Macaca mulatta: one gene and its partner. The main gene of each other region encodes a partner of the protein of the gene in region 2 in a complex. Links are inferred from orthologs where the notes say so. Each region holds a gene or a part of one and is shown on either strand. Other genes may lie near its edges.

Region 1 (3,286 bases), on a different chromosome or scaffold from region 2:
TGTAGTCAGCCACCACTGCATTCCAGCCTGGACAACAGAGTGAGACTGTCTTAAAAAAAAAAAAAAAAGCCCACCACTAAATCAATGAGTTCAAAGATAAGTTAATAAGGAGAAAAATCAGACTAAACAGGTTAAGTAACTTTCTCAAAGTTATACAAAAAGGAAATATTGGTCTTCTTTCAATTCACTGCCTTCTCTCTATAATATACCTATTACTTTTTCAAGTACTCTTCCATTTTTAATCAAAATGTTATTTCAAGGGATGAGAAATTACGTGACAACAGGGGTATTTTTCAGTGAATGCTGACAGCTGTGAAAGTCTTAATCTTTCTTCCCCAATACCCTCCTACCACTAACAGCACATGACCACTCTTGCTACAGGACTGAAGTTTTTCTTCCAAGTGGTGTTGTTGCAACTCTCTGGAGTGCTCTCGTCCATCATCTCCCTCCCTTTAAAACAATACTACCAATCCTTTCCTCCAACAACACAAAATAAGAGCTTTTCAAATCATTTTATCTTTAATAATCTGGTAGTAACTTAAAATACGAAAAAAAAAGTCAAACGTGTTCCCTTTATGGGTGATGCCACCATGACTGCCTCACACAAGCATGCTCAATCACCAGGATGAGACTGGATGCCACAGAGTATGGCTGGCAAAAAGGCATCAGGGCTCACAGACTGAGGAGTTTGGTTACGGAGTCTCCGAGGGGTAACAGGCCGCAGAATAGACATCAGTTTAAGGGGCCTTCAGAGGACAGGGCGCGGTTGCTGGGTCATGAGCACCTTGAAGCGTTTCTTGATGGTGATTCGGTGTCGAGAGTATTTGTCATCTGGGGAGAACCGAGCAGGATGGGCTGAGCAGGTCTGTTGTCCCATCGGGTCAAATTTCTGCTCCGGGAATAGAGAATGTATGTCAGTACAGGAGTGATGGGGTGGGGACAGCGCGAAAAAGGGCAAACATGAAAACAGAAGATGCAATGATCAGCTCAAAAAGTTGTACAAATAAATAGAGAAATACAAAACTTAAAAAGGCTGGGCGCGGTGGCTCACGCCTGTAATCCCAGCACTTTGGGAGGCCGAGGCAGGAGGATGGCTTGAGGTCAGAAGTTTGAGACCAGCCTGGGCAATATGGCGAAACCTCGTCTCTACAACAAACAAACAAAACCAACCAACCAAACAAAAAAACCCTAAACCAAAAATTAGCCAGGTGTGGTGGCGCACGCCTGTAGTCCCAGCTACTCGGGAGGCTGAGGCAGGAAGATTGTTTGTGCCCAGGAGGCGGAGGTTGCAGTGAGCCGAGGCACTACAGCCTAGGCAACAAAGCGAGTCCCTGTCTTAAAAAAAAAAAGAAAAAAAAAGAAAAAAAAGAAAAGTGAGTGCAATGGCGCTATCCGGGTTTACTGCAAGCTCCGCCTCCCGGGTTTAAGCGATTCTCCTGTCTCAGCCTCCCAGGTAGCTGGGAAAACAGGCGCACGCCGCCACGCCCGGCTAATTTTTGTATTTTAGTAGAAACGTAGTTTCACCGTGTTGCCCAGAATAGTCTCTAACTCCTGAGCTAAGGTAATCCACACGCCTCGGCCTCCCAAAGTGCTAGGATTACAGGCGTGAGCCACTGCGCCCGGCCAATTTTGTTTTTTTAAAATAAAAAATTCGTCGCGCGCTCCCGGTTCTCCCCCACCTCGGTTCTGCACTTTCTGGTTCCCTCCACCCAGCTAGGTAACTCCGTGTATGGCCTCACCCATTCCTCCCATCTACATTTCTCGCCATGCCTATTTACAACCTATTTTCTCTCCTCACCTTCAGCGTATAGACCCGATCTCCCTCCTCGTTGAGGTAATACTGGAGAAACATGACTGCTCGTAAGCCAGAGGTCCCAATTCGCTCCGCTGCTCCGTCTGCAGGGGTCCGCCCGACCGCGTCACGTGTTCGTCAATTTCCTTCCTGCATAGCCGGAAGTCTCTCTCCTGGCACGCCGGAAAATGTAGTCAATTTTTGCCTTATTTTCAGCTAGCCAGAAGGGGGCGCACGAGGGCAGGGCTTGGCTTGGGGGGCCACACTTGCAACTTTGCAGGCTAAAACACGTGGAGTGTGCCTACTGTGTGCTAGGTACACGGCGCTAGAGGGGGGTAGGGATGGATGTGGATAGAACATTGACGTATAGAAGCTTGTCTTTATCTCAAGATACACACCCCTTTCAGGAGCAGTGAGTTTCCAGTGCCTGAAGAAACAAGGGCTCCAGGATTCAGAGCCCCTTTGCCCTAGGGAAGAAGGAAGAGGTTTTCTTCCCTCCCCTCTTTTACATCCAGTTTCCCTGCTCCATTTCAAAGCGTTGGCGGTAAAGAATGCATGTTGAGTATCAATATTCCGTAAAGCGAAAATAGCGTAAAGTTATTTTATGAAACGAAGTATGTTTCAGCGGTCGAACCAAGATTTAAACTTAGGTCCCTACCGCAAATTCAGCGCTCTTTCTTATAGTGGTGAGTAGCTAATAATAGCGTAATAAAGTGCACCTTCTAGGAGATTTTACAATTTTTTAAAGAATATAGAAGTTCTCCTTATTCGTTTAAAGAAATGAAAATGAGAACCAAAATATAATTACAAAGATCATCATTACGCCTTATTTATAATGACAAAAGCGTTGGCATATATGTTGTGTAACCAGAAAAACCTGCAAGGTTTTTTTTTTTTTAGAATATGGTTTGGCCGGGCGCGTTGGCTCACGCCTGTAATCTCAACACTTTTGGAGGCTGAGGCGGGCGGATCACAAGGTCAAGAGTTCGAGACCAGCCTGGCCAATCTGGCGAAACCCCGTCTCTACTAAAAATACAGAAAAAATTAGCTGAGTGTGGTGGTGGGCGCCTGTAGTCCCAGCCACTTCAGAGGCTGAGGCAGGAGAGTCATTTGAGCCGGGGAGGCAGAGGTTGCAGCGAGCTGAGATAGCGCCACTGCACACCAGCCTGGGTGACAGAGTGGCACTCCGTCTGAAAAAAAGAATATGGTTTGTGACCGGGTGCAGTAGCTCAGGCCTGTAATCCCAGCACTTTGAGAGGCCGAGACAGGTGGATCACAAGGTCAGGAGTTCAAGACCAGCCTGGCCAATATGGTGAAACCCCGTCTTTACTAATAAAAATACAAAAATTAGCGGGACGTGCTGGCGGTCACCTGTAGTCCCAGCTACTCGGGAGGCTGAGGCAGGAGAATCGCTTGAACCCGGGAGGCGGAGGTTGCAGTGAGCTGAGATCACGCCACTGGTCTCCAGCTTGGGTGACAGAGCAAGAGACCCTG
Region 2 (3,513 bases):
CTCTGGTGACTTTCTACACCTGGGCACAGGTGGGTGGTGAGGAAGGGGGTCTCCTGGGCTCTGGTGACTTTCTACACCTGGGCACGGGTGGGTGGCGGGGAGGAGGGTCTCCTGGGCTCTGGTGACTTTCTGTACCTGGGCATGGGTGGGTGGTGGGGAGGGGGTTCTCCTGGGCTCTGGTGACTTTCTGTACCTGGGCATGGGTGGGTGGTGGGGAGGGGCGTCTCCTGGGCTCTGGCGACTTTCTACACCTGGACGCAGGTGGTAGCCATCAGGTTTCCACGAGTGTAAAATTCTGCTGAGTCATACATGAGATTTGCAAATAGCTGCAGTAGCCTCAAGAAGTCAGAGAAAGAGGTCCTTGCAGGTCTCCACATGCGCCTTTCCCCAAACTGAAGCTCCAGGGACACTTCACCTCTGCACCCTGGCCTGGCACTACTCTGGGGGCTTACCACTCCAGCGTGCTCATGACCATTGGGTGGGAACCCAAGTCCAGGGCCCCTTTCACCCCTGCTGAGCCCCAAGGCCTCCGGCCACTCTGGGAGGAGTGTGTCCCGGGGAGCGAGGCCTGAATCAGCCTTCCTGTCTCTCATAGAGCCGGCACGGGCCAGGCTGGGGTCCTGGGGGTGCCGGGGGTCCAGGAAGGTACCACCCAGTGTCCCTACTCTCCTCTCAAACCCGGCTTGGAGTCTCCAAGGCCCAGCCCTGTGACAGGACAGGGGCACCTGTGCTGGAAGGGAGGACCCTGAATGTGGAGTTCACCAAACCAGCACCCAAGAGCGTGAGGACAATGGTACGGACCATGCCTGGAAGAGGAAGGAGGAAGGCCAAGGGGCCACACACACCCACGCCACAGACACAGTGTGGACATGCATGTGCCACGGACACATGCGCACACACACACCACAAATATGCACGTCACAGACACGCAGCACAGACACACGCTCATGCATACCACAGGCACACACACCAGAGACACACCACGCACACACACGTGCCACAGATACACACACATACATCACAAATATGCTCATCACAGACACATGCACCACGGACACACCCGTGCCACACACGTGCCACACACGTGCCACATGCGCATATCACAGATACACACACATATCACTGACGTGTAAATCATGGAAGTACCTCCATCACAGAAACACATCACAGACATGACTGCAAACTAGACACATCCAGATCCCAGGGACACACATCCTGGACACAACTGTATCACACGTGAGCCTTACGTGGCTCTTGAAGGTCTTGCGGACGTGCCCATGGGCGGCCTTCCGGACCACAGCATACCGGCGCACGCAATATGTGTTCTGGGGCTTGATGATGCTGGCGATGACCTCCGTGAGCCTGTCCTGGGGGATGGTGTCGTATGCGCCCATCACATCCACCTGCGTGAGTGAAGGCAAGAAGGCTAACAACGGCCACCCAGCAACTCAGACGTCACCTCTGCCCTCAGGGCCTGGCCGCAGCCGCGTCCCCCCATCTCTCTCTGAGCCCCACCTCTCCAGACCCCAAGGGCAGGGCGGGCTGTATGCCCTCTCTGAGCCTCAGGACAGGAGGGCCCTGGCTCAGGACTGGGGTGCGAGGCACCGGGGCCTGGTGGCTGAGCTGGTGCGGTTCCTTCTCTGACGGGAACTGGAATCCAGTGGGACCCTCCCTGGGAGGAGGAGCCCGGGGCAGTTGGGGTGCAGAGTCGGGGCCCATGTGCTGCAGGAAAGGCTGAAGGCCTCCCTGCCAGGTGCCGGGTGTGTCCCCAACAGTGACCGGGTCACCTGCACTCCCTGTGGCCCACCCAGCATGAGGTGTCAATCAGGCAGCCACCCCCAAGGTCCAGCAGGGCTGCTGACGGGGTCCCAGCGCCCACCTTGACGAAGTATAGCTTGGGCGGCGGGTCCTGGGCCCGCACACGCAGCACAAAGTTGCGCCAGGCCCTGTGGATATCATCCAGGCCCAGCACAGAGGCACCCAGGAGGCCGGGGCGCCGTGCCCGCTCGTAGTTGAGCACACTGAACAGTGCCTTCACCCTCGAGGCGAGACGCTCGGCCTGGCGGGGACGGCACGGGAGACGGTCAGGACAGTGGACCTGGCCAGGTGCCCCGCCCCACCAGAGGGACCCAGGGGAGAAGCAGCCCCACCCCAGTGTCCCCAGCCGCCCAGACCTAGGTCCTTGAACCCCTCCCAGCTTCCCCAGACCCTGTTTGAAACGTGGTCCCGGCTGCATGTGTGTTGCACATGGGATGCTCATGCCATACCTCTGTCCACCTCACCCCACACTCCCCTCAAATGACGGGGTCACTACAGCCACAGCAGCCACAGGGGTGGGGTGCAGGAGCCGTGGGGTGAGGGCCCAGGGTCCTCAGAGCCCGGTGGGGTCCTGGCAGCCATGGCCTGGTCCCTGGGCCCACATACGGAAGCACCCGGTGCCCGAGCACCACGGCAGGACACGAACCTGGGACCTCGCGCTCTGCTGCGTCCAGGCCCCAGCCCAGCCGCTGCTTGTGGTCCTCAGAGCCTGTCCCTGCCCCAGGACCTCCCCCAACACCCCCACACTGCTTTTCTGGAGGCACCAGCACCTCGGCCACCTCACCACGCCCACAAATGGGTGTAAGCCGTGCCGTGGGCCGGGCTGGGTCCCGTGGCCCCTCCTCCGGGCCCTGCATCTAAGCTGATACCAAATGTGGGGCTCAAACACACTTCTGTTTAAAAAGGACACTAAACCAAAGCACAGTCACCCTCTTTTCTCTGCGGAACGTTCTGGCTCCCACGACGTAGTCCATGTTCACGATCGGCCGGAGCCCGTCAGGCTTGGGGAGGAAGCGGAGTCTGGACGCCAGCAGGGTGGGCCTGGCTTCCCGATGCTGCCTGGCCTCTGCTTCCGACAGCTCCCGCAGCTGCACCCTCTTCAAGTGCTGTCTGCAACAGAGAGCCCCTCAGGACACGCTCAGCCAGGCGCCAGACTAGGGGGAAGCTCACGGGAAGCCACAAGCCCCCATCGACTCAGTGAGGGCTCGGGACACCCACGGCAGCACACACTGAAGGCCATGCCCGGGGCCACGTCCTCCCACGCCAGCCAGACGCCTCTGAGAGCCCTCTACTTGCAGGGCACCTGGACACCTGGTCCTACAGTCAACCCTAGGAACGCACAGTCCAGTGGTCAACCCCCAGGGTGACTGTCCCACCATCAGCACCAGGGAACCTGGTCCCATGATCAACCCCCAGCCTGCCTGTCCAGTGGCCGCCACCCAGGATGGGGTGCAAGGCTGCATCTGGGGCCACATGAACTCATGCTCCCTCCACACAGGATGCCTGTCCCTCTGGTACAGCCACTGGGTAGCCCAGGTCTGGCCCCAGGCAGGACCCTCAGGCAGAAAGAGCCGCATCCCTTCCAATGGAGAGGGCAGGGGAGGCTGCTCAGGGCAGCTCAGCCAAGGAGCAGAACCAGCTCCCGTGAGCCCACCAGCTCCCTGACACCTCTGCCCTTTGGTGTTTTCTCCCAAA

What was found.
Region 1: TERT (region 2) and NOP10 share a complex: the UniProt entries of both Homo sapiens proteins name them as parts of the telomerase holoenzyme complex. The link is inferred for Macaca mulatta from reciprocal best matches to the Homo sapiens genes TERT and NOP10.

Annotation. Positions count from the first base shown.
Region 1 is NC_133412.1:11,535,689-11,538,974, forward strand, and holds NOP10 (H/ACA ribonucleoprotein complex subunit 3), read right to left. Parts: upstream 1,909-3,286; 5' UTR 1,853-1,908; coding exon 1,799-1,852; intron 890-1,798; coding exon 749-889; 3' UTR 501-748; downstream 1-500. Other genes in the region: NUTM1 (NUT family member 1), read left to right, coding at 2,397-2,478. UniProt on the Homo sapiens protein: Required for ribosome biogenesis and telomere maintenance. Part of the H/ACA small nucleolar ribonucleoprotein (H/ACA snoRNP) complex, which catalyzes pseudouridylation of rRNA.
Region 2 is NC_133411.1:2,402,508-2,406,020, forward strand, and holds part of TERT (telomerase reverse transcriptase), read right to left. Parts: intron 2,929-3,513; coding exon 2,748-2,928; intron 2,060-2,747; coding exon 1,880-2,059; intron 1,404-1,879; coding exon 1,248-1,403; intron 1-1,247. UniProt on the Homo sapiens protein: Telomerase is a ribonucleoprotein enzyme essential for the replication of chromosome termini in most eukaryotes. Active in progenitor and cancer cells. Inactive, or very low activity, in normal somatic cells.